7 linked regions of the Sus scrofa genome follow. The protein of the gene in region 3 interacts with the protein of the main gene of each other region in a biochemical or structural test. Links are inferred from orthologs where the notes say so. Each region holds a gene or a part of one and is shown on either strand. Other genes may lie near its edges. The genes, in order: CHEK2, RBBP8, ATM, ABL1, EIF4EBP1, CHEK1 and SMC1A.

Region 1 (3,500 bases), on a different chromosome or scaffold from region 3:
TAATAATAGAGCAAACCCAGGTTCCAATTTCAACTGCAAGCTGGGATATTTACTGAGACTTTCAATGAGAGGAAGCTTAGGGTAGCAAAGTTGCTCTCCATTACAATTCCAAAAGGATGAATCAAGTTACTCAACCTCACAGGCTACACCCTCCACAAGCAAAGAGGATATAGAGTTACATATTTATGTTAAATGGACTTCAGTGAAGAAACCCAGATGTTTAATTTTAAAAGCCTGCCTCTTCCTGTAAGCCGTTAAACTCATTACCAAGTCAGGGTGTACTCTGATGATAAAGAGGTCTAAGGAGTCCGATAGGATTTGAAAGATGAAATTAAGAAATAAAGTTGTGTTCCAAGTCATTAAGTATTTGGTAGGTTAGTTCCCACCACCCCCTCCCCCATGGGAAACAAATTCAGAATCACAGGGGAAAGATCTATAATGAAGTGAACACCAAAAGGAAATTCCTCTTGCTATATAAGAATGGCATTGTCTAGGGAAAAAAAAAAAAATTGATCTTTAAAGAATGTTAAAGTATAATAGCCAGAAACAGCTGGCCATGGAAAACGTGATTAGAGGCCACATTTTGTATTACTTCGTTGGTTCATGTATTGAAATACCAATACAGTGGCCATTTCACCAACACAGTGTGTATTAAAGAAAATGTAATAGGAGTTCCTGTCATGGCTCAGTGGTTAATGAATCCGACTAGGAACCATGAGGTTGTGGGTTCGATCCCCGGCCTTGCTCAGTGGGTTAAGGATCCGGCGTTGCCATGAGCTGTGGTGTAGGTTGCAGACACGGCTCGGATCCCAAGTTGCTGTGGCTGTGGGTGTGGTGTAAGCTACAGCTCCGATTAGCCCCCTAGCCTGGGAATCTCCATGTGCCGCGGGAGCGGCCCTAGAAAAGGCAAAGACAAAAAAAAAAAAAAGAAAAAAGAAAATGTAATAAAATGGTTACCATATAAAGAAAGCATTAAAATAATTCATGATTTTTAAAAAATCTATAAACACACAGGTATATATTGTCATGTTACCAAGAAAAGCAAAGAATTCAAAATTATCTAAATGATCTAAATCATCAGCCAGAGAAATGGTTGAATAAATTATGAAAAAGTTGGTGAAATAGAGACCCAATCATCAAAAAAGATATGAGGAAAGTTTATGCATTAGTGCTTATGTGGAAAAGCAAAATTCAAAATTGTATGTATAACATGATCTCAACCATCTAGAAACATGAATTCATATGAACAAAGACTAGAAAGAAAGGGAAAACTGAAAACAGCTGTGGGGTTACAGTGGCAGGGACATAGCTGGATTTTTTTCCCCTAATTTCCTTTCATTTATTGTAAAAATAGTCTTGTAACAACTTGGAAGGAAAAAAAAAACAAAAACAAGTTCCTGCTATGTATATTATTCTGTACAACCAAGTATTTTTGGAACCCAATTATCTGTGTTTAGATTAGTTGGATACACTCAAAAATGTTCAGTGTTCTGGGAGTTCCCACCATGGCTCAGGGGAATTAAATCTGACAAGCACCCATGAGGACACAGGTTTGATCCCTGGCCTCGCTCAGTGGGTTAAGGATCTGACATTGCCATGAACTGCGTGTGAGTGGAAGATCAGCTCAGATCTGGCGTTGCTGTGGCAGTGGTGTAGGCTGGCAGCTATGGTTCGACCCCTAACCTGGGAACCTCCTTGTGCTGTGGGAGCGGCCCTGAAAAAAAAAAAAAGACAGGGAGTTCCCATCATGGCACAGCAGAAACGAATCTGACTAGGAACCATGAGGTTGCTGGTTCGATCTTTGGCCTCGCTCAGTGGGTTAAGGATCTGGCATTGCCATGAGCTGTGGTGTAGGTTGCAGACATGGCTCAGACCTGGAGTTGCTGTGGTTGTGGTGTTGGCCAACAGCTGTAGCTCCGATTAGACCCCTAGCCTGGGAAGGTCCATATGCCGGGGTGCAACCCTAAAAAGACAAAAAAAACAAAAACAAAAAGCAAAAAAAAAATGTCCAACATTCTTCGATACAAATTCCTAACACTGAAAATCACCAGTCTGAAATTATTTGGGGAAGTTAAGAAGCATTAAGACCAACCCAACAGCCACAAACACAGGTACTTACTGCCTCTCTCTCAGAGCCAATAGCAAACTTCCTTTTGCTGATGATCTTTATGGCTACTTTCTTACAAGTTTTCCTCTCAAAAGCTAGTTTCACCTCACCACAGGCACCGCTACAGGGAAAAAGGCAGAAAGTGACTGATTATTAGAATGCTTTTAATCCTGAGACACACCGCTCCTGAATTGGCCTCAATTATCTTAAATTAAAACACAGTCCAGGAGTTCCTGTCTTGGCTCAGTGGTTAACAAACCCGACTAGCATCCATGAGGACACAGGTTTGATCCCTGGCCTCACTCGGTGCATTAAGGATCTGGTGTTGCCATGAGGTGGTGTAGGTCGCAGATGAGGCTCAGATCCCGTGTTGCTGTGGCTCTCACGTAGTCCGGCAGCTACATCTCTGATTGGACCCCTAGTCTGGGAACCTCCATATGCCACCAATGCGGCCCTAAGAAAGACAGAAAGACAAAAACAAACAAACGAAAACACAGTCCATATACAACCCTTCCACTATTTTCAAAGAACATAGTAGAACCTCACCAAGATAAAATATCAAGGGAATAAGTGAATGGGGACCATCCAACACTGAGTCAGCTCGAAATTCTACTTTTTTGGGCTGAGTGGTACAGACTTATTTGAGCTGAGTGATACAGATTTAAGTCACCCCAGATTGCCACACCAGGAACCTGAGCCACCAGGGAACTCCTGACTACTTTCACTTAGAATGTTTTGAGGGTTCATCCATGCTGCAGCACGTACCAGCATTTCATTCCTTTTTATAGCTAGATAACAGCCAATTTTATGTATATATCACATTTTGTTTATCCATTCTTTGGTAGATGGACACTTAGGTTGTTTCCACCTTTTCACTACTGTGAAAAGAGCTGTAGTGAATATTCATGCACAAGCTTTTGTTGAACATCTGTTTCCAATTTTGGGGGTATATACCTAAAGGGGAACTGCTGGGTCATATGGTAATTCTGTTTAACTTTTTGAGAAAACATCAAACTATTTCCCACAGTGGCTGTACCATTTTACATTCACAACAGCAGGGTATGAGGTTTCCAATGTTTCTGCATCCTCACAAACACTTGCCATTTTCTGTTTTTTTTTTTATTACAGCCACCCTAGTGGGTGTGAAATGGCATCTCACTGTGGTTTTGATCTGCACTCCCCTAATGACTAATGACACTGAGCATCTTACATGGTTTTTGGTCATTTGTATTTCTTTGGAGAAACCTCTATTTAAATCCTTTGTCCATTTTTAAATTAGGTTGTTAATCTTCTTGTTGGTGAGTTCTATCTATTCTGGATACTAGATCCTAACCAGATAACTCATTTGCAAATATTTTCTTTCATTTTATGGGTTGTATTTCACTCTCTTCAT
Region 2 (3,500 bases), on a different chromosome or scaffold from region 3:
AGTTATTAAAAGTCATTTTGATAGGATAAAAAAATTACTTTCTGAAATTTGAACGATAAACCAAGATAATGCATACACAATCCCACTGGAGTGCTTATAAACAATATGATTCCAATGAAATTATTTGAAGAGGTTAAGTCTTTTATCTTTAGGATATTGTATTTGTCACAAAACTGGCACCCAACCTACAGAGAATCATGGAGAAAAAGTTTAATGTTTAGACTTGGGTATATACAGTATTAATTTTTTTTTTTTCAAAATGTTATAATCTCTTACCTCTTTCCATACAAGTCTGAGTGGAAGGAAAACCAACTTCCCAGAAATTCTCTGGTGTGCTGGGTGGAATGTAGCGAAATCGGTGTCTTGAGCAAGAAGCCAACTTCTTTTCTCTCTCTTCTGCTGGGAAATCTGCATAATACTGATAATAAAACTGGTAAGATTGCCACTCAGTAATAATGAATGCAGTGTCACTGATTATAAACTAGAAACTAAGAAAACTATTAAAGTATTCAGCATGCTAATATGGAAACTGAATTCTCACTGATAATGTTAGTAATTAATACTATCTGTAATTACTATTTGGAAATTACTGACAATAATTGGTGTGGGTCTGTGAAATGTTTGCTCCACATATGAGAAGGGAGCTTGTATCACCATGTAAACCAGGATACTGCTTCCTTTATCAATAAAATCTCACAATGAAAAAAAAAAAAGCTGGGAGTTCCTGTCATGGCTCAGTGGTTAACGAATCTGACTAGGAACCATGACGTTTCGGGTTCGATCCCTGGCCTTGCTTAGTGGGTTAAGGATCCGGCGTTGCTGTGAGCTGTGGTGTAGGTTGCAGACAAGGCTCGGATCCTGCATTGCTGTGGCTCTGGCGAAGGCGATTCAACCCCTAGCCTGGGAGCCTCCATATGCTGTGGGAGCGGCCCAAGTAATGGCAAAAAGACAAACAAAAAAAGGCCAAAAAAAAAAAAAAAGCCAGTTGAACTTTACAGTGTGCTTAGTGGTACAACTGATTTATATACTGGTGCAAACTCTCTATCTTTCTCATTCCAGCAACAAAAATGCTGAGGCCTGCACTCTGAATAGCATGTTTCTCAAATGTTATTTGGATATAACATGTGTTTTGAAGTAATTTTCCTATCACTATAATCATTTAAAATAAAAGTTTAGCCTTGAATGTTGTCGGCTTCATGACTTCCCCTTTAAACTATATTTTTCAACCACGATCAAAGGCATATTATTTTTTGCAACTGTGATCATAACTGAATTTCATGCAAAGAGAAAACTTCTATGTGAAAATTATACAGGTCTTTAAGCAAGCTCTAGATCTAAAGAAAACAAAGCAGTACAGTTTAATAGAACAGATGACAGGATCGCATAATCCCGCTAATTCCATTTTACACTTGAGAAACTGAAAATCAAAGTGATAAATTTACCAAAGTTATCACCTAGTGAAAGTGGTAGACTCAGGACTAGAATTTTTTTAAAGTAAAGTTTTTCAAAATATTTCTTTTAGTGGGTTAAGGATCCGGCATTGCCATGAGCTGTGGAGTAGGTTGCAGATGCGGCTTGGATCCCGTGTTGCTGTGGCTCTGGTGTAGGCTGCGGCTACAGCTCCCATTAGACCCCTAGGCTGGGAACCTCCATATGCTGAGGGAGCAGCCCAAGAAATGGCAAAAAAAAAAAGAAAGAAAAATTTCTTTTATGTAGGTTAAAGGTTTTAGAGTAATATCTCTAAAACTTTGTTTTTCCTGGTATCTTTTTCTTCATTCCCACTGCCATGAATATTAGCATTTGTCACCTTAGCCTGGGAACTGGGATTGGATGCCTTTAGAGAACCATGGTTACCAATCAATATTGGAGAAACAGTGCCACCAAATTACAACATATTTGAAAAGAACATTAAATGTAGCTGTAACACAGCAATCAAATGGGAGAGTACTGAAGATAAAGTTAGAGAGGAAGTGGAGTGTGAGCTTATTGTCCTTCATAAGGACTTTGACTCCATTTCTTACTAAGAAAGGAAGCCATTTAAGGATTTTGGACAGAAGAATGACATGATTTAACTTTTCTTCCAAAAAGATCATTTGGAAAAAGAGACTATTATTGTGTTGAAAGTACAATCAATGGAGTTCCTGTTGTGGCTCAGTGGTTAACAAATCTGACTAGGAACCATGAGGTTGCGGGTTCCATCCCTGGCCTTGCTCAGTGAGTTAAGGATCCGGCATTGCCGTGAACTGTGGTGTAGGTTGCAGACTCAGCTCAGATCCCGCGTTGCTGTGGCTGTGGTGTAGGCTGGCAGCTACAGCTCCAATTCAACCCCTAGCCTGGGAACCTCTATATGCCGCAGGAGCAGTCCAAGAAATGGCAAAAAGACAAAAAAGACCAAAAAAAAAAAAAAAAAGTAAGTACAATCAATGGGATTTGCTGACCGATATGTTTTTAACATAAAAAAAAAAAAAAAAGAGGACAACTACAAAATCTCTGGTTTAAACAACTAGAAGAATGGATATAGAAGGCTCAGAGGAAAGGTTCGAGAATTGGAGGTAGAAACTTTGCTTTTAGACATGTGAAATTTGAGATGACTATTACACATCCACATGTACTGCATATTCTACATGTGGACTAGGCAATGGAAAAATTTTAGGGTAAGCATATAGGCAATATTTAAATTTAGATACATGGGGCTGGCACTTTCACTCCTAGTCATGAGGGAGTTACAGGGAACAGATTTACCCTCTACCTTAAAAAACCAAAAAAAAAAAAAAAAAAGAAATAAAATGTATGAAATAGTGTTTTTAGAGATTGGGTAACAGCGCAAAAATGATTCCTGAGAGAAGGAAAGCAAATTAAGTCTCTAAAAAAAGCAAAAGAGCTTTTTTTTTTCTAATTGTACCAATTTCAGTTATAATTAAAATCTGGAAGTTTACTTAGAACAGACCATATTCCTTAGTTAAGAAATCATGATACATTTGATTTGTGTTACAAAAACTCATGATTCAGATTTTGCTTGTTATACCAAACTGCTTTTCAAAATACTGATCTCAAGTTACACTCCCACTCTTAAGAGAATGAGAGCCTATTTCTCACCAAATGCTTACCTGCTCTGTAATCTATTCTCACCTAACTTCAATGTGCTTTGTTATCAAATTTTCTGGCCATAGTTAATGAAAAAATTAAAAGGGGGAAGTACACTGATAGAAACAGGCATCCAACAGCTAAAGGACAGCAAGGGAAGAAATAAAAACAACATGTTTCAAGAAAACACAGAACCTGCCTGGACTATTTAGGACAATCAGAATATCCTTAAGTGGATACAGTCTAGAACACCCAATGTAAACTAATATCTGTGTAAACTAATATCTGTGTTCTAAGGATGAAGTAGAGCCTATTCATATTTTGTTTGGAAAGGAAAATTTGGGGGAAAAAAGAGCTTATGGTTGTACCAGTTGTTTAGAAAAAAACAATTATGAGTATTATCTCATTTCCTGAAT
Region 3 (3,983 bases):
TATATAAACAAGAGATGTTCATTAACTGATACACACAACGACTTTTACTGGGAAACTACGGTGTTCCAAGTACTGTGTTAGAGGTAGCTAGACATATAATGAACTAAATAGACACAAACCCTACTCTCCTGGAGTTATAATTAGTGGGAGAGAGTGACAATAAAAAGTGCACTTATAAATCAATGCCTAATGCCAAATTGTGATATATGTCTCATAGGAAGAAAATATATAATATCAATGGATAGCAAAGTTCCCACTGTGACTTAGTGGTAATGAACCCAACCAGTATCCATGAGGATGTGGGTTCGATCTCTGGCATTGATCAGTGGGTTAATAATTCAGCATTGCCATGAACTGTGGAGTGGGTCACAGACACGACTTGGATGCCCCATTGCTGTGGCTGTGGTGTAGGCCAGCAGCTGCAGCTCTGATTCAACCCCTAGTCTGGGAACTTCCATATGCCACAGATGAGGCCCTGAAAAGACAAATGAAATAAAATACCAATGTAGAGGATCATTTTTTATAACCTATTAAGGAACACATATTACAGGGGGTTAAAAGATCTGAATAAACTGGTGCCAGGCACAGAAAGAGCGAGAGAACCAACATCTTAGAGGAGAAACACAGCCAGCGAGCTCTAAAATGGAAAACTGCAATGTTGGAGGAAATGAAAGACAACTAAAGGAACAAGACAGTAGTTAGCTAGAGTAAGACAGTAGTTAGCTAGAGTAAGAGTATCATCAGGTAAAATTGAATTCAATTAATACATTAATCCAATTAATACATCTAGGCTCCACTTCCAAGATGCAAGTGGTATAACACATATTTCCTAAGTAACACCCTCTGAATTGGCAAATCCATTGTTCCTTTTCAGATCTCAACCAAAATGATCCCTTTGCAGAATTTGACAATGATGCTTATACCATATCTTTCTGGATCTAATTCTGCCCTTAGCACGCCATCTTTTTTTGGGGAGCCGTGCCTGTGGCATGTGGAAGTTCCCAGGCCAGAGATCAAACCTAAGCCACAGTGGCAATACAGCCACTGCAGTGACAATGCCAGATCCTTAACCCGCTGCAGCACAAAAGACCACCATGCCATTTTTTTCTAATGCTAAGAGTGTGGGCTTTGTAGTCAGACTGCACTAGTTCATACCCTGGTCCTGCACTTACAAACTATGTAACTTGGGCAGTTAGCTAATCTCTCTCTCTTTTTTTTTTTTTTTTGTCTTTTTAGGGCCACATCCACGGCATATGGAGGTTCCCAGGCTAGGGGTCTAATAGGAGCTATTGCTGCCAGCCTAGGCCAGAGCCACAGCAATGCAGGATCCAAGCTGCATCTGCAACCTACACCACAGCCCACAGCAATGCTGGATCCTTAACTCACTGAGCAAGGCCAGGGATCAAATCCACAACTCCATGGTTCCTAGCCTGATTCATTTCCGCTGTGCCACGACAGGAACTCCAACTAGCTAATCTCTCTAAACCTCAGTTTTCTCAATGATAAAATGAAAAACCACATTAGAATTGAACTAGAACTTCAAAGTTACTTTAAAGATTGATGTACATGTTTAACACACTGCCTGGGACATAGCAAATGCTCAATAAATATCAGCAATTATCATTATTCCCTTCTTTTCTGTTTCGCATCTCTTTTAATGGTTCTTTTTCCACCCACACCTGAAAGAATATCCTTGTCTCCTTGCTTCTCAATTTTCTCCCAGTTAAGACCATATCCCAGTAAGAGCATATGTTCAACATGTTGAAAATGCCCAAATGTACTTCATTACATGCAGGACCTCTCTCTTCTCCTTTTTTTCCATTTTTTAAAGTTTTATGGAAGGACAGTTGATTCACATGTTGTGGTAACTTCTGCTGTACTGCAAAGTGATTCAGTTATACATGTACACACATCCATTCTCTTTCCATTTCTTTTCCAACATAGATTACCACAGAATATCGGGTAATGTTCTCTGTGAGGCTCTCCCTAGAGCTTCAGGAACCTTCCACACGTTATGCCTTCATATGCATTTACCCTTCTGTCTGTAAGGCTCCCACCTCCCTCCAGGGCAGTTTAACACTGAAATCTCACTGCAAACTGAAACTGATTCTCCCAGGCCGTTTCCACAGAACTTCATTCACTCCTCTTCCATCACAATGTTCTTCTATCACATTATCACTCTGAATTGTAACAGTCTTTTTACTTCTCTGTACCTGGTAAAAAACAGCAAACACTCTTGAGTGGTGACACAGGATAGGATGATGACGAGATAGATGGTACAGCGAGATCACACAGCCAGCTGACAGAACCCCAACTCCGGGAGTGTGATTCCAGAGCCCAAGCTCTTAACCACGAAACTTCAGTTTAAGCCTCAACGAATCACTCGTTGACTTAAACTACTAATTATGACAGGGGAGAAAAAGATGATTAGTTAAGCCATCTAGTTAATTTCTGGGCACAGAGGCAGGGGACGCACAGGAAGGTTCAAGGCTAAGTCCACCAGAGGCACGAAAAGAGAGCTGGAGAAAGCAATGAGTACCAGAGTCCCGTCAAGATGAGGTGGGGAGAGGAGTAAAGGGGCGCATATGGGGGCTGGGACAGAGCGGCCCGGAGGCATCTTAATTCCCCAACGCAGACGCCACTACACGGCTTACGCACCAAGACGGCTGGACTGGACAACCAAGTGGAATCCCTGGTGGCGGCGTAGCCGCAGACCAAATCCCCGCTCCACTCCCAGCAGCAGCCCGAGCCACCTGTCCACGCACTGATCCCGCTTCCGACCAAACTCAGCGTGGCCACGCAGCGTGCGTCCCGGGCGGAAGCGGTAGAGGTGCGGAGCGTTCGGGTACGGTCCGCCCACGCGCGCCGGACACCAAACACTCTCCCAAAACACCGGGCTCGGAAGGGAACGCGCCTGCGCACTGTCTGCCAATGGCATGCGACCCTGCAGCCACGCTCTCCCTGCGGCTTGGTCTCCAACGCTCGCGCCCCGCCTCCTCGCCCCCTTGACCCCACCCGCCAAACGTGAGCACGGAAATGACGTCAGTGCCAGGGAGAACGGAGGCGGGTTTCATTTCGGCGCCTTTCTTTCTCCCGCGGAAGCGATTGGCTGGCGTGGAGCAAAAGAGGCGGGACAAATTGCAGCGGGGTTCAGTGCCGCCACCGGGACCGGGAGATGCGGCGCAGGAGCCGTCGCTGTTGGCTTTTACCTGAGTCTCGTCTCTCACTGCGGGTACTCCTGCGGCTTGGATCATGCTGCTACCCTCGGACGTAGCCCGGCTGGTATTGGGTAAGCGTTGACGCGGTAGAGAGGGAGACCGGACCGGGCTGAGCTGGACGGAAGGACCCTCGGGGCCAAAGGTTTCCCCAGGGAGGGAAGCTCTGGGGCTTTGCCTCCCCGTCTCCGAGTTCAGGCTGGCGGTGGTTCTTCAGCCGGGGGCTCGGGCGGTTCGGGCTTTGTGTGTGGACACTCCTCTCCTTCGAGGTTGCGTGATGAGGAGAGGCTGAAGGAAGCCCGGAGTGGAACACCTGAAGCCGGGATTGGAGGGAAAGTCAGGCCTACACTTAATTAGGACCCTGCCGGGAAGCTGCTACGTGATGCACCGACGGCTTCACCTTGGCACACTGCACTTTGTCAGAATTGGGACCAAAGTAGGAAAGAGAGGGACTTCCCCCAGCCCCCTCCCCCCAGCTTTGTAGAAAGACATTCCTGACGCCCTTCTCGTAACTCGCCCTTAGAACTGCGAATTTGGGACGAATGGGTGATCTTCCTTCCTTATCCCGTCCCTCCGCAAGAAGTCGTCCAGTGTAGAGGTTTGAAACGCTAATTGCATACTTTCTGACGGCAGCAGCTCGGGTTCTTTTAATTAACAAGAATTTTCACAGGGGAAATGCCTTCCATTTGAACATTTCTAGTCCTAGTTAGTTTTTCCTCATTTTGAAAACAGTTTAGTTCCACGGCCAGTTGTCAGGGTACATTGTAT
Region 4 (3,500 bases), on a different chromosome or scaffold from region 3:
TCGTTAACCACTGCGCCACGACGGGAACTCCCAATTCCCTCAACTTTAAAACATTAACAGAGGTACATGATGACAAAGCTGGGCATCATGGGGGTCTACAGACTCTGCTGTGGCTAGACACCCCACAGCCCTGCCCTGTCCCTTCCCCTTCCCCCGGGTGTGGTCCGTCAGAGCATCCCCAAGGAGCTGCTACCCACCCAGGCGCCTGGTCCACCTCGGGCGTGTCCATTCATTGGCCTGACGGGAACCCAGACCTCCCAATTTCCTTTCCTGTCGGGGCTGAATCGGAGCGGCCTAACCCAGCGTCACGCCTGGCGCAAAGGAAGCATCGGACCCACACTTTCGAATGCTGTTCCTGGTAACATCCTAGGACCCTCCCGAACGGCTCCCACGCCCTCGCCGTGGGTCTAGGGAGCAGCCCCAGAAGGAGCCTCCTCTCAGACGAGAGGACACCAGCTCTGCCACAGGTGTCTCCTGGCTCTGTCAGTTCCAGGGAGCTTCTCGCTTTGCTGCTTTCGCAACAAGCTGCTCTTTGTTTGGTTCAGTATTTATTATTGCTGCATCTGCTCTGAAAGAGCAGCCACCAATGCTGTGACTAACACATGAAAGGGTGTGTTCGCTCTTAGTATGTTTCATAAGCACCTCTGCCTGTGTGACTAGACTAACAGCCACAGCCAGTGGCTCCTGAATGATTTGCAGAGGGAGCGCTTTACTGTGGGAGAAGAAGGATCTTCCTCTTTTTGAAGCTGGGCCACTAACGTGGGGTCCACTTGCCCTTCTGTGCAGGTTCCGCTCCCTGCTTCCCATCTGCCTGCACCGGCACCCGGCTCCGGGGCCAGCTGCCCTGGGCTCTGGCGGGGGTGGGGACATACCCGTCTCTCCCGGGCCCTTGGAGTGGGGCGTCTCGGGCACGTCTGGGGCGTCTTTGTGTTCGGCGGCTCTCCTGGCGGTCCTGGTCTTGGTGGGCAGTTCCGGGGCCTGCAGCAGAGGGCTCGCGGCCCCTCGCATGCCTTTCTTCCCCAGCTCCTTTTCCACTTCTAAGAACCACCGAAAAATCAATAACAAAACCAGGAGTCATCAGTATTGATGTCCTTTTGGTATGCTGGTTTTCCTTTTCTTTTTAAGACAGCAGTAGTCATCTATACACAGTTACAGAGAAGAGACACACATCCCGAAAAAGCAGCACCGGAGCAGACTTCAGAGTCCTGGCTGCCAAAGACAGAGGGCCACACTCAGCAGCTTGACCGCTGGCCCGTGCTCTCGACCAGGAGGGACTGAAGGACCGGGCTGGAGTCCCGCCCGGCCCTCCCTCCCACCCCACCCTCTCCCCCCACTGCAGGCACCCCAAGGACGGGCACATTACCATCTGATATGCTGGATTCCTGGAACATTGTTTCAAAGGCTTGGTGGATTTCCGCAAAGGAGGGCCGGTCAGAGGGATTCCACTGCCAACCTAGACAGATGAGACCCAAGCCGGACCACCCGTGAGGCTTTGCGAACAAGAGGAAGACTAGCAATCCTCAAGGCAAAGTCGAGAAACTGAAGAAGCATTCCGGTCCCGCTGGCCATCTTGTGCTGTGACAAGTTAAAGTGACGACTGCCACTGAGTCCTATTACAGACCCCGGGAATCTGAGACGACGTTGGGTACGGGCGGGAATGCGGATTATAACACAGGACAGCAACAAGTACATTTACAAAGATGTTTTTCCCAACCCGCCTCTAGCAAGTGCAGAGAATCACTAAACCAAATAGCTTGCTTCCTGTCCTAACCTTTCCTCGCAGTCACCAAAGTCTGAATTCCTCATCAGTAAAGACATGCTCCTTAAAACAAGACGAAAAGGAGATTAAGGACCGACGCAGCCCAGTGTAGGCGAGGCTGTAGCGTCCCCCTTACAGACTTCTGTTGGGAGTATAAACTAATATAACCTTTTTTACAAAACAATTTGGTAACACCTATCAACATTTTAAAATGCACAGAGCCCCCTGAACTACAGGTTCAACTTCTGCAAGACACCAGAATGCGCAGAGGCATACGTATCTACGAGGGAACTGGTTCCTGCCTTGTCCGTAAGAGCAAAAAACAAACAAATGTATACAGCAAACACATGTCCATCAAAGGAGGATGGGATGAATGAATAAATTACGCAATAGGTGCTGGGCAGCTACGTGAAGATAAGAGTGGGTGAAGGAGAAGGGGAAGAGCACGGGAAATCATGGGCGTGGAAAGAGACGCCCGCTACACTGCCAAGTGCAAAAAGGCTGAAGAAGTGAGTTTTTATCATACATACACACATATACGTACACATAAATACATCAAAAGCCGAGTGGACAGGAGTCCCCATTGTGGCTCCATGGAAATGAACCCGACTGGTATCCATGAGGATATGGGTTCAATCCCTGACCCCGCTCAGTGGGTTAAGGATCTGGCATTGCCATGAGCTGTGGTGTAGGTCGCAGACACGGCTAGGATCCCATGTTGCTGTGGCTGTGGTGTAGGCCGGAAGCTACAGCTCAGATTCAAACCCCCAGCTTGGGAACCTCCATGTGCCAGAGGTGTGGCCCTAAAAAGACCAAAAAAAAAAAAAGTTGAAGGAATGAATTTTTATATATACATACACACATATATATACATATTAATAAATTAAAAACTGAGTGGACAGGAGTTCACATTGTGGCTCAGTGGAAATGAACCTGACTGGTATCCATGAGGATATGGGTTCAATCCCTGACCCCGCTCAGTGGGTTAAGGAGCCGGCACTGCTGTGAGCTGTGGTATAGGTTGTAGATGCAGCTCGGATCTGGCATTGTGTGGCTGAGGTGCAGGCTGGCAGCTGTAGCTCTGACTTGACCCCTAACCTGGGAATTTCCGTGGGCCTCACTTGAGGCCCTAAAATAAATTAAACCACCACCAAAACCGAGTGGATGAAAATCACCTGGAATATTTACCTACTATACCAGCAATTTATATTTATTAATAAGAAACCCAGGTTTGGTATCCATCCACGTCACTTTTGCATTAAGAACAAACAAAAGACCCTCACATATAAATACTATGTAAAACTAAAGGTGCACAGACACACTGGAAAAGGTACAATGCTATGCGCCAAACTGTCACACGAGTTGTTTCTGAAGGAGGGAAGGAGAGGAAGCAAGCGAGCGCTTTGGCCTCGCCCTGCCCGGGTCTCCTCAACGCCCCCCGACCTGGGGAAGTCCCACGCTTCCCTTCCCAAAGGGAGGCTCACATGCTCGCATGAGTTCGTAGACCTTCTCCGGGCAGCCTTCCGGGCGCTCCATGCGGTAGTCTTTCTCTAGCAGCTCATACACCTGGGACAGGTCAATTCCTGGGTAAGGTGACATGCCGTAGGTGGCAATTTCCCAAAGCAAGACTCCAAACGCTAAAAGACAAAGAGCAAGAGCAAGACAGCTCAAGATGTGGGAGCTTTAACCACCGTGCACTGGAAAGCAGGAAACCGCGCCGCAGACGTCAGAAGCCACGCCC
Region 5 (3,873 bases), on a different chromosome or scaffold from region 3:
ACAAATCCAACTAGGAACCATGAGGTTGTAGATTCGATCCCTGGCCTTGCTCAGTGGGTTAAGGATCTGGCGTTGCCATGAGCTATTGTGTGGGTCGAATACGCAGCTCGGATCCCATGTTGCTGTGACTCTGGCGTAGGCCGGTGGCTACAGCTCCGATTAGACCCCTAGCCTGGGAACCTCCGTATGCTGTGGGAGTGGCCCAATAAAATGGCAAAAAGACAAAAAACAAAACAAAACAACAACAGAAATGTGTGGTCTCAGTTCTGGAGGCTGGAAGTCCGAGATCAAGGGGTTGGCAGGGTGGTTCCTTCTGAGGCTGTGAGGAAGAATTTGATCCAGCCTACTCCTCTCCCAACCCCCTGAGCTTCTGATGGTTTGCTTGCAATCCTTGATGTTCCTTAACCCTTGGCTTTTGTAGGAAAACCTGCCACCTGTGCTGCAGCCATACCTCAAAGAAGTAGGAAAAAGAGCAGGTGGGGACTTCGAGATGCTTAACAGTATTCCCACCCCCTTCCAGGTACCAGGATCATCTATGACCGGAAGTTCCTAATGGAGTGTCGGAACTCACCTGTGACCAAAACGCCCCCGAGGGACCTGCCCACCATTCCCGGGGTCACCAGCCCTGTGGGTGATGAGCCCCCCACAGATGCCAGCCAGAACCACCTGCGCAGTAGCCCAGACGACAAGCCGGCGGGGGCGGGCGGTGAGTGCAGGACTTGGCCAGGCTCTCCCTTGGGAAGGAACATGTGTGGTCCCATCCGCTGGGGGGAGTTCAGGGAAAACACTGGCGATCACCCCACCCTCCATGGAGCAGCCCAGAGCCCAGAGGATGGAGGTAGGGATGGAGCATAGAGTTTTCATCCCAACCAGCTTTCCCCATGAAAATGGCCCAGGAACCCAGGAAAGGCCATCATCTGGCAACTCACTAGTGGGGAGCTTGTTTGAAACAAGAGGGGACCACACAGCCACTTTGCTAACCTTTATATAGTTGTCCCTGAAGCATTTCCAGGCGACTGCAACACTTGGAACATACCCACGATGTTCCTGTGCTGGAGGTGACCTATCAAAGGCCCAGTGTCCTCGCCCTCTAGGAAATTACATGTCTGTATCAGAAAGGCTTCTAGGATGCCTTCTGCTAGGGTGTTGTCTGTAGTAGATTCTTGATGAACAGAGGAGAAACAGTGCAACCGGTTTCTTTTGTTTTTTTGTTTTTCCTTTCCTTTTTAGGGCCACACCCACAGCATATGGAAGTTCCCAGGCTAGGGGTTGAATCGGAGCTGTGGCCACTGGCCTGCGCCACAGCCACAGCAACATGGGATCTGAGCCGCATCTGCGACCTATACCACAGCTCACAGCAACGCTGGATCCTTAACCCACTGAGCGAGGCCAGAGCTCAAACCCGAATCCTCCTGGATACTAGTCAATTCTTAACCTGAGCAGCCACAAGGGGAATTCCGCAACCAGTTGTTTCTGCAGGTTTGACACAGTAGCTGGGTCCTTCCTGGTGTTTGTTCTCTCCATCCCCCACCTCCATCCTCCCAAGTCATCAGAGCAGCCACCCTGGCAGAGGTGAACGCAGTCTGTGGCATTGGGACTGGCTGGCCCCGGGCATCTAAGTGCTCCTGCTGCAGGAGGATGCAGCATAAGCACTTGCAGACAACCTGAGTCAGCGGGCAGCCTGCTGACCCTTTATCTGGAAGGCAGTGCACCAAGCCCAGACAGGAAGCAGCTGGGACCTCAGGCTGGGCTGGCCCTGCTGAGAGCAGCAGAAGCCATCTCCCCAGGGCCTGCAGGACATGATTCATATTTACCTTGGGAACCCTACCACCCAAGACAGGCTGGTTGCCTCACCCTCAGACAAGGAGAGCAGGGGGTGGAAGGGCGTGGACTCAGACACACAGGGAGCATGAGGAGGGCAACTGAAGACTGGAAGTTGAGGATGGAGGTTGTCAACACCTGACATTGCTGCATCACTCTCACCTGGTCCGTTGCCCCCACTTGTACTCCCTCTTCCCTCCCAGTTTCTAGAGCTGTTCTGTCCCACAACAAATGGAGGGTGGCCCAGCAGTGCCCCCAGGTGGACCACTCTGACCCCACAATCATGGCCTAGTGTTCCCCACAGTTGCTGGGTTGGGGTTTAGTGGAGGGGGGTGCCAGCATGATTTTCTCTTTTGCTTAACTGGATATAAGAAGCCAAGGGACCAAGAATTCCTGTTGTGGCTCAGGTTAAGAACCCAGCATAGTGTCCGTGAACTGCCCTAAAATGTGATGTGGATACATCATTGCCATGACTGTGATATTGGCTGGCAGTTGCAGCTCAGATTGGACCCCTTGCCTAGGAACTTCCCTATGCCGCAGGTGCAGCCCTAAAAAAAAAGAAAAGAAAAGCAACCCCCTGCAGCATGAATTACTTGGAAATGGTAATGGTGAGAGTTGGGTGAGGGCAGTGAGTGGCTAAATTACCCAAATAACTGCCATACCACAGGGTCAGGCTGGGTCAGGCTGTTCCACACACAGTGGGATATATGCCTGGTAGGTTAGGGTACTGTTTTCTAAACAAGAAGTTGGGACATGTGCTCAAAAGGGTTTTATGTTTAAGGAATATTTGTCTGTGAAGTTGTATATATTTCAAATCACAAGGAACCATTCACACTTATTAAAAATGATACATTTAGAGTTCCCTGGTGGCTCAGTGGGTTAAGGATCTGGCATTGTCACTGCTGTGGCTTGGGTTACTACTGTGGCACAGGTTTGATCCCTGGCCCAGGAACTTCCGCATGCCATGGACACAGCCAATGATAATAATAGTAGTAGTAATAATAATAATGCCTATATGGAATTCAGGGCTGTCACCTCTCCTGCTGGGAGATGTGGTCTTTGCTCTGCCTTTAAGACTTGAGGAAGGGAGCACAGCTGGACATGTATTTCCAGGAATTCCTGGTCCCACCCTTCCTCTGTTCTTGGCAGCCCAAACCTGGCCCCTGCTCTGCTGGTAGGGACAGAAGAATGGGAAGTAGTGCCTTTTCCTGGCCTCTAGAATGTCAGCCCTGCCCAATTCCTTTTGCTCACCTGACCCTCTGTTCCTTCTCTCCCCAGGTGAAGAGTCACAGTTTGAGATGGACATTTAAAGGACCAGCCATGGGATCGAGCAATGCCTCTGGGCCCCAGTGGCCCCTTTTGGGAGAAGGATCCCACCAGCCAGGCCTTATGAAAGTTGCCATCCTGGGCAGGCGTTGGGCGTGGGGTCGGCTGCCCCAGCCCCCTGCTTCCTCACTCAGGGCACCTGCTCCCCCTTCTTCATGAACACCAGCAGATACCTCCATGTGCCTCCACTCCTGCAGGTGCTGTCACCCCAAGAGGAGTGACCTCAGGCACACCCTGCAGCCCAGGGCCAGCTCGTGGACTCGGAGGAGCCCTTCTGAATGGTCCTCTAGCTCTTCCAGCATCCTCCTGGGGGGGGGTGTGCCCACCCCTTCCTTAGGTTGGTGTATGGAAATGCTCCCATCCCTCTCTCTTCCCAAGAAAGGAAATAAAAGCCACCTTTGCCCTAGGGCCAAGAATTGGCCCCTGTCTGAGCTCTTTTCATTCCATATGGATGGCTAACGCCAATGTCACATGCATAGTGCCCATCATGCACTTTCTATGCCTTATCTCATTTGACAGTGGCACGGATCCCATGGGGGTAAGTAGAGCAAGTGTTATCGTCACTGTACGGCTCAGAGAAGTTGGCGTCACACACGGGTTGATGACAGGTGGGGCTGGCCTGGAGCTGTGCTACTCTCCATCTCCTGTTTTTCAGTGATGGGTGATACCTCTATTCTGGGCTGTGTCTCCCCCCCACCCCCAGGTGTGCCCAGTGACTGAGTCACC
Region 6 (3,977 bases), about 16 Mb from region 3:
CTGCCTGAAAAGTGTATACCTTATTTTCAGGCTAAGATACCTTAATTCTATCAAGATACAAAGAAGCTGTGCAGGTCCTCCTCTTCCTTTCTTCATATTCTTTGTCTGCAGCACACAGTGCCAAAACTGAAAAAAATGATGTGGAAAACTTACTTTAACAAAAGCCTAAACTGTGATGAGCATTTTGAAGTGTCCTGGTCTTGTTTTTCTGTCCCTGACTTTGCTTCTTTAAATCAAATGTTTGCATTTTTGTATAATATATTTTACACTTACTTTAGTCTATTGCCAGTATCACAATCAATAGCTATTTATGTTCAATGCATGCATGTGGCCCAGTTTTGAGAATTGGAGAACTTAATGGAGATGATCTGCCCTGTGCCTTGAGTTCCTAGTCTAATTTACTGTCAAGGGGGAGTAACTATTTCAGTTTTTCTACATGATTTTGTACTCCAGCCAGTCCTTTTCTCAGAATTGACTTTCCCACCTAAACAGGATACTCTGCTTTTAAACTTTGCATTGTAAAATGCGCAGCCTTTTTGCTTGTACCTGCCAGTTTCTTACACATTAATGAGAGAGCGGGTAGTACTAGGCTATGCAGTTGCACTTCCTTCAAAAAGGTTGGGTTGAGGTATTGTTTTGGAGGCAGCTTAGATAAGATGGGAAAACTGGTTATCCTGACATTACCTCAAAAATACAAGAGCAGCTTTATTCATCCTGACGCCTTCCCACCCCTTGCAGCCATTCTTTGATGCTTCTCTCTCCCAACACAAAAGTTACTTTCCTTCTTCACAAGATCAGTTCTCAACAGCTGTTACTAGCTTCTCAGCTCCGGTTTTACCTGGCCCACACCTTCAAGTAAGAGGCAACCCTTACTGAGTGTGACCCTCAACACCTTGCCAGGCAAGGGTTGGGGTGCCAGGAGGTCGGGGGCGGCGGGCAGCGAGCCCTGCGGTGCTTCAATCCCTTGGAACGCGAGGCCAGCCAGCCGAGGATACACGCCTGGTCCCACTTAGCGTTTGTGCCCAGAGGTCGTTCGCACTGATGAGGTCGGCAGTTCTTAAACCTCTTCAGCCAGGATCTCCTCCGATCTTAAGGTAATATTGGCTGGCGGGCCTGAGAACGCAGCGAAGAGCGGCGCGGACCCGAGGCGCGGCCAATCTGCAGAGCCCGAGAGCCCCAGAACGCGCGCTTCCTGCTTTACGGCAAGGGAGCGCGCATTTGCGACAATGTGACGCTAGCAAGTTTTGGCGGGAAAAGTCCTGCATTTGGATTCCTGTGGTGGCGGGCAAAGGACGGCCTGGTGAGGAGGGGCGGCCGGTAGAGTGGGAAAGGCCCCTGGAGCAGGAGTTCGGGGTCTATAAGACTTAGGAGGGGCACCGCGAGAGAACGTTCTCGGCGCCGAGCCCGGGGGATCAGAGAGACTCCCGCGGAGGGCGGTATCGGAGGGTGGAGGAGTGTGATGCCAGGAGGTCCTCGTTGTACAAGGACTGGAGAGACGACTCCTCTGCTGGCTGGGTGCCCCAGAGTTTTGGGCCCCGGCCGCACGCGAGCCACCCAGCCCTTCCTTCCGCCTCTTGGGGCAGTTTGGCCCCGCCCCGGGCTCCTCCTGGCCTTGGGGACGGGGTGTGGGTAGGAATTGGGAGTGAGCCGATGGGGAGGAGGGGCTGCGGTCGTGGCAGTTATTTCCTTCACTAGTCAGCATCCCTGACTCTGACCCAAGTTCTCACCTTTCACCCCTTTTCCTGGTCCCCCACGGTAAAGCACTGGTCCTCCCACTTCCCAATGCGGATAGCACATCTCCTCTGCCGCCTGGAATGCGGGGTTTCAGCCTTGGGTTTGTGTGGGAATGGGGATTGTGAGTTACCAACGAAATGCCAGAGTTCATAATACTTGCTTGTGCTTTAACGGCTTGGATAAAAATATGGATGAGATGTTAGGGGAAACCAGGAGCTGTGATTTATCTTGAAGAATCATGGCAAGAGGCGGAGCTCAGTGGCTTAAGAGATGATTGAAGTTTATCCTCATATGCCGTCTTTTCTGGGTTCCTGCCTTTTACAGCCGTGGGACTTAGTGGAGACATGGCAGTGCCCTTTGTGGAAGACTGGGACTTGGTGCAAACCCTGGGAGAAGGTGCCTATGGAGAGTGAGTTTGAGTCCTTAAACCCTGCCTTCACACTCGCTTTAGTTTCCTGTCGGTTGTTGTCTCCTTTGAGTACATGTTAGGTTTTTTGGAATATGTTTATTCTAACACAGTGGCACCTTAGAGAACAGATCTTTGCATTTGAAACCCAAAACTTTGGGGAACTGAAGCTACACAATCTTCTGTAAGGATTAATTATTTTTCTTCCTTATTTTTAAAAAGCATTTTTTGCCCAAAGAGCCAAAAGAGATTTCTGAAATCAGTTTCCTGCCACCATTCCTTCCTGGTGTTTAAGCTGGTGGTTAAATGAGCAAATGAACAGACTTGAGTCAGACTGCCTGGTTTCCAATCCTCACTTTGTCACATGCTCACCATTGTTTTGTGTTCTTAGGCAAGCTTTTTTTTTTTTTTTTTTTTTGTCTTTTTCCAGGGCTGCACCTGCAGTGTATGGAAGTTCCCAGGCTAGGGGTCTAATCGGAGCTGTAGCTGCCTGCCTACACCACAGCCACAGCAACACAGGATCCTTAACCCACTGAGCAAGGCCAGGGATTGAACTCGAAACGTCATGGTTCCTAGTCGGATTTGTTAACCACTGAGCCACAACGGGAACTCCTAGGCAAGCTTCTTAATGTCCTTGTTTGCCTCTGTTTCCTCAGCTATAATGTGGCAATAGTAGTACATATCCAGTAGGTATTTACAGCGATTACCGCAGATATATATAGAATGGGATTGATAAATGCTAGATAATATATTAAAATTAAATGAATAGAGCAAAAATGAAATCTTGCCATTAAGTTACAACATGAATGGACCTAAAGGGTATTATGCTAACTTTAAATAAGTCAGACAGAGAAAAACAAATATTGTATGATTTCACCTAATATATGGAACTTAAAAACAAAACAAATGAACAAACATAAAAGAGAAACAGTTTCGGAGAACAAACAGGTAGTTGCCAGAGGGGAAGGGGGGCTGGGAAAGAAATACGTGAGATACAAACTTCCAGTTGCAAAATAAATGTCTCCAGGATGAATTGCACAGTGTGGGCAATATAATCAATAACTATATAATACTTTTGTAAGCCTAATTAGACTTACCATGGAGATCATTTTGAAATGTATAGAAATACTGAATCACTATGTTGTAACAGGAACAAACATAGTGTAGATCAGTTATACTTTAAAAACAAACACACATAGAAAAATAGATCAGATTTGTGGTTACCAGAGTGGGGTGGGGGAGGGGAAATTGAAGACAGTCAAAAGGTACAAACTTCTAATTATAAATAGGTACTGGGGATGTAATGTACAACATGATGAATGTAATTGACAGGGTGTATGTTACATATGAAAGTTAAAAGGGTGAGATAGTAAGAGTTCTTAACACAAAGAGTTGTCTATTTCATGTTTGTTTGTTTTTTCTTTTTAAGGCTGTACCTGTGGCATATGGAAGTTCCCAGGCTAGGGGTGGAATCAGAGCTGCAGCTGCTGGCCTATATACCATGGCCACAGCAATACAAGATCTGAGTGGCATTTGTGACCTACTCAACAGCTTGTGGCTTGACCACATCCTTAACCCACTGAGCAAGACCAAGGATGGAACGCACTTCTCAGGGAAACTGCATCAGGTCCTTAACCTGCTAAGCCATGATGGGAACTCCCTTTTTTCTATTTCTTCCATTTTGTGTCTATATGAGTTGATGGATGTTCACTAAACTTATTGTGATAGTCATTTCATTGCTTTATGTCAACCATATCTCAGTAAAGCTAGAAGGAAAACAAATTAAATGAATAGAGCATGTGCATATGTGATGTGGCCTAGAACTGCTATTTTCTCA
Region 7 (3,500 bases), on a different chromosome or scaffold from region 3:
GGCCAGGGATCGAAAGTGCATCCTCACGGATGCTAGTCAGATTCATTACTGCTGAGCCACAGCGGGAACTCCAGGTGGGCATTTTTAACAGTTATTGGCTATCTGCTTTCTGTCCTAGCCCCACTGGGCCTGCATCATGGTCCCTCCTCTGAACTAATGTTAACAGCTTCTTCACTGGGCTTCCCGACTCCACCTGCCCCCTTCTGGTTTGTTTTATGAGGGCAAAAATATGTTTCTTTCGCTCCTCTCTTTAAAACATTTCAGTGATTTCTCATTGCCTTTTGATGGCACTTCTCAAATTCAAGTCTCCACATCAGCATCAACTGGGGACATATTAGAAATCCACATTCTCACGTTAGAAATCCCTGTTCTCGGGCATCTACCAGAATAGGTAGGTGCCTGAGAATAGATCGGATTAGGGTAGGTAGGAACTCAGAAGAGGGAGAGCTTAAAAGAAGTGGTGGCTTTGCCAAGCAAGAGGAAGTGATGGGAAGCCACTCCTGACCTATAGGAGCAGAGACTATGGAGTGGGGCCCAGCAATTTGTGTTTTCCCAAGCCCTCCAGGTTATTAAGATGCACAGTAAAGTTTGAGAACCATTGCTATAGCATGAGATCCAACCCCTGTCATTCATGAAATACCACTCTTTGGTTCTTGCTCATCTCATTAACCTCATCTGCCAGTACTCTTCCCCTCTAGCCCTGCACTCCAGCCTGATTAAACCCTTTGTAGTTCCCCAAACTTGCTTTCTTTGGCTGTAGGCCTTTGCAATATTAATTTTCCTCTATTTTAAATAACCTCATTTCTCTTATTTTCTTGGTTAATGTCTTCCCCATCTTCCAAACTCAGCCTAGATGTCACCTTTGGGAAGCCTTCCCGTGGAGACATAGAGATACCCCTACCAGTCTCTTATCCTCAAGCTTCATTTAGCCCTTTTTCTGTGCTACTGCTGTTATTGCACATAACACACGGAGTTGTCTCTGCTTCTGGCTCTTCTGTACCCTGTCTGCCTCAAAAGGCAGGGAGTGTGTCCTCAAAGTTCAGTGGTGAAATGTGGCACCTAATGTGGGAAGTGATCAGTGAACTTTTTCTGAATGATTGAATGGGAGTGGGTAGGGGGAACTGGACTGGCTGGAGTCTAAATGGGGAGAGTGTTTTGACCTTTACTAGGGTGCTGTGGAATCTATTGCCATGAAGAACCCCAAAGAGAGGACAGCTCTTTTCGAAGAGATCAGTCGCTCTGGGGAGCTGGCCCAGGAATATGACAAGCGAAAGAAGGAGATGGTAAAAGCTGAAGAGGACACGCAGTTTAACTACCATCGAAAAAAAAATATTGCAGCTGAACGCAAGGAGGCTAAACAGGAAAAAGAAGAGGTAGGTGGCCAGGCTGCCTATGGGCTCTGAGAGGCCAGAGTGAAGCCGGTGCCTTACTGATGCACCCCTGCCTCCATGCCTCTATTTGCACAGGCTGACCGCTACCAGCGCCTGAAGGATGAGGTGGTACGAGCTCAGGTACAGTTGCAACTTTTCAAACTTTATCATAATGAAGTGGAAATCGAGAAGCTCAACAAGGAACTGGCCTCTAAGAACAAGGAGATTGAGAAGGATAAGAAGCGGATGGACAAGGTAGAAGATGAGCTGAAGGAGAAGAAGAAGGAGCTGGGCAAAATGATGCGGGAGCAGCAGCAGATTGAGAAGGAGATCAAGTAAGTGGCAGGCCTTGGCCTGTAACTTGTGTGAAGCCAAGAGGCTCTGCTGTTTCCTAGGGCTTCTGTGAACCCAGAGCCCAGTGCCTCTACTCGTTTCTCTATCTTCCCCTTGACTTGCTTTGCCAGAATCAAGCACATTTTTTGACTTGCAGACAGAGTATTTAAATACTCAGACTCCTGACTGGCAGTCCCTTCCTAGAAGAGGGAAACCGAAACTTGAAGTTTAAAGGACAGGAATTTCAAAATGTTAGATCAGGAGTTCCCACTGTAGTACAGTGGGTTACTAGTCCAACTGCAGTGGCTTGGGTTGCTGTGGAGGCATGGGTTTGATCCCTGGCCCGGCACAATGGGTTAAAGGATCCGGCATTGCTGCAGCTGTGATGTAGATTTCAGCTGCGTCTCAGATTCAGTCCCTGGCCCAGGAACTTCCATATGCTATGGGTTTGGCCAAAAACAAAAAAGAAAAGCTTAGATCAGATGGAAGACAATGAGGTGAACACAGGGTGTTCTTGGGAGTTGTTACCAAGGGGCCTGGCCTGGCTAGGGTTGAGGCAGGGGGGTAGCTTTGCCTTTTAAATGGCTAGAATCCCAGGCTAACACCATCAGTTCCAGGGAATAGCCCTTTCTTTGAGGATCTGTGGGGCATCAGGCCCTTGTTCTTTTGGTAATTCCCTAAGGCTGGCTTGGGGTTTAGGCTTCCTTTGGATTAAAAAGCCTGGGACCCCTCCCTTCTCTCACAGTGCTAACTGGTGTTTCCCCCAACCCTGGCAAAAGGGAGAAGGACTCAGAGCTGAACCAGAAGCGGCCTCAGTACATCAAAGCCAAGGAGAATACCTCTCACAAAATCAAGAAGCTAGAAGCAGCCAAGAAGTCCCTACAGAATGCTCAAAAGCATTACAAGAAACGTAAAGGTGATATGGATGAGCTGGAAAAGGAGATGCTGTCAGTGGAGAAAGCTCGGCAGGAGTTTGAGGAACGGATGGAAGAGGAGAGTCAGAGTCAGGGCAGAGATTTGACCCTGGAGGAAAATCAGGTAAGCTCTTGGGGGTTGGGGGGACTGGAGAGATCGATGGGCTGACATGGTCATCCCCGTCCTCCTTCTTTGTCCCTCACACAGGTGAAGAAATATCACCGGTTGAAAGAAGAAGCCAGCAAGAGAGCAGCTACCCTGGCCCAGGAGCTGGAGAAGTTCAATCGAGACCAGAAGGCTGATCAGGACCGGCTGGATCTGGAAGAGCGGAAGAAAGTAGAGACAGAGGTGGGCATGCCTTAAAAGATTGGGGATGATGGTCCAGAGCAAAGGAGATAATGATGGTCTTAACAGTAATGACAGTAGCTAACATCTAGCAAGCACTTACTGTGTGCCAGGCACTGTTTTTTACATGTATTCACTCATTCCTCATTTTTATAGAGGTGAAGTAATTTACCTAAGGCCACGTTGTTATTAAGTGACAGAACTGGGATATGAACCTGGGCAGTCTAGCTCTAAAGCTCACACTTTTTGGGAGTTCCTGTTGTGGCGCTGTAGAAACGAATCCGACTAGGAACCATGAGATTGCTTAGATCCCGAGTGGCTGTGGCTATGGCGTAGGCCGGTGGCTACAGCTCCAATTCGACCCCTAGCCTGGGAACTTCCATATGCCGCGGGTGCAGCCCTGAGGGGAAAAAAAAAGGAAAAACCCACAAAAAAATAAAGCCCCCCCTTGCAAGTATACTTCACTTACTGTGTTACTGATAACAATGATAGTAAAATAATAGGAATAATAGAAAGTTATTATAGTACCCTGAGAGC

What was found.
Region 1: of the proteins of ATM (region 3) and CHEK2, one has a biochemical effect on the other in vitro, tested with the Homo sapiens proteins (6 studies listed by BioGRID, with this or other methods). The link is inferred for Sus scrofa from reciprocal best matches to the Homo sapiens genes ATM and CHEK2.
Region 2: of the proteins of ATM (region 3) and RBBP8, one has a biochemical effect on the other in vitro, tested with the Homo sapiens proteins (4 studies listed by BioGRID, with this or other methods). The link is inferred for Sus scrofa from reciprocal best matches to the Homo sapiens genes ATM and RBBP8.
Region 4: of the proteins of ATM (region 3) and ABL1, one has a biochemical effect on the other in vitro, tested with the Homo sapiens proteins (3 studies listed by BioGRID and IntAct, with this or other methods). The link is inferred for Sus scrofa from reciprocal best matches to the Homo sapiens genes ATM and ABL1.
Region 5: of the proteins of ATM (region 3) and EIF4EBP1, one has a biochemical effect on the other in vitro, tested with the Homo sapiens proteins (2 studies listed by BioGRID, with this or other methods). The link is inferred for Sus scrofa from reciprocal best matches to the Homo sapiens genes ATM and EIF4EBP1.
Region 6: of the proteins of ATM (region 3) and CHEK1, one has a biochemical effect on the other in vitro, tested with the Homo sapiens proteins (2 studies listed by BioGRID, with this or other methods). The link is inferred for Sus scrofa from reciprocal best matches to the Homo sapiens genes ATM and CHEK1.
Region 7: the proteins of ATM (region 3) and SMC1A form a complex in vitro, tested with the Homo sapiens proteins (2 studies listed by BioGRID and IntAct, with this or other methods). The link is inferred for Sus scrofa from reciprocal best matches to the Homo sapiens genes ATM and SMC1A.

What each region holds. Positions count from the first base shown.
Region 1 is NC_010456.5:45,950,351-45,953,850, forward strand, and holds part of CHEK2 (serine/threonine-protein kinase Chk2), read right to left. Parts: intron 2,229-3,500; coding exon 2,120-2,228; intron 1-2,119. UniProt on the Homo sapiens protein: Serine/threonine-protein kinase which is required for checkpoint-mediated cell cycle arrest, activation of DNA repair and apoptosis in response to the presence of DNA double-strand breaks.
Region 2 is NC_010448.4:108,014,469-108,017,968, reverse strand, and holds part of RBBP8 (DNA endonuclease RBBP8), read right to left. Parts: intron 431-3,500; coding exon 277-430; intron 1-276. UniProt on the Homo sapiens protein: Endonuclease that cooperates with the MRE11-RAD50-NBN (MRN) complex in DNA-end resection, the first step of double-strand break (DSB) repair through the homologous recombination (HR) pathway.
Region 3 is NC_010451.4:36,619,581-36,623,563, reverse strand, and holds the start of ATM (serine-protein kinase ATM), read right to left. Parts: upstream 2,801-3,983; 5' UTR 2,659-2,800; intron 2,400-2,658; 5' UTR 1,680-2,399; intron 1-1,679. Other genes in the region: protein NPAT, read left to right, coding at 3,253-3,289.
Region 4 is NC_010443.5:270,897,641-270,901,140, reverse strand, and holds part of ABL1 (tyrosine-protein kinase ABL1), read right to left. Parts: intron 3,397-3,500; coding exon 3,244-3,396; intron 1,454-3,243; coding exon 1,364-1,453; intron 1,038-1,363; coding exon 873-1,037; intron 1-872. UniProt on the Homo sapiens protein: Non-receptor tyrosine-protein kinase that plays a role in many key processes linked to cell growth and survival such as cytoskeleton remodeling in response to extracellular stimuli, cell motility and adhesion, receptor endocytosis, autophagy, DNA damage response and apoptosis.
Region 5 is NC_010457.5:48,422,501-48,426,373, reverse strand, and holds the end of EIF4EBP1 (eukaryotic translation initiation factor 4E-binding protein 1), read left to right. Parts: intron 1-520; coding exon 521-706; intron 707-3,099; coding exon 3,100-3,131; 3' UTR 3,132-3,373; downstream 3,374-3,873. UniProt on the Homo sapiens protein: Repressor of translation initiation that regulates EIF4E activity by preventing its assembly into the eIF4F complex: hypophosphorylated form competes with EIF4G1/EIF4G3 and strongly binds to EIF4E, leading to repress translation.
Region 6 is NC_010451.4:52,758,047-52,762,023, forward strand, and holds the start of CHEK1 (serine/threonine-protein kinase Chk1), read left to right. Parts: upstream 1-1,177; 5' UTR 1,178-1,300; intron 1,301-2,058; 5' UTR 2,059-2,078; coding exon 2,079-2,143; intron 2,144-3,977. UniProt on the Homo sapiens protein: Serine/threonine-protein kinase which is required for checkpoint-mediated cell cycle arrest and activation of DNA repair in response to the presence of DNA damage or unreplicated DNA.
Region 7 is NC_010461.5:46,192,149-46,195,648, reverse strand, and holds part of SMC1A (structural maintenance of chromosomes protein 1A), read left to right. Parts: intron 1-1,169; coding exon 1,170-1,373; intron 1,374-1,466; coding exon 1,467-1,705; intron 1,706-2,482; coding exon 2,483-2,741; intron 2,742-2,825; coding exon 2,826-2,966; intron 2,967-3,500. UniProt on the Homo sapiens protein: Involved in chromosome cohesion during cell cycle and in DNA repair. Central component of cohesin complex. The cohesin complex is required for the cohesion of sister chromatids after DNA replication.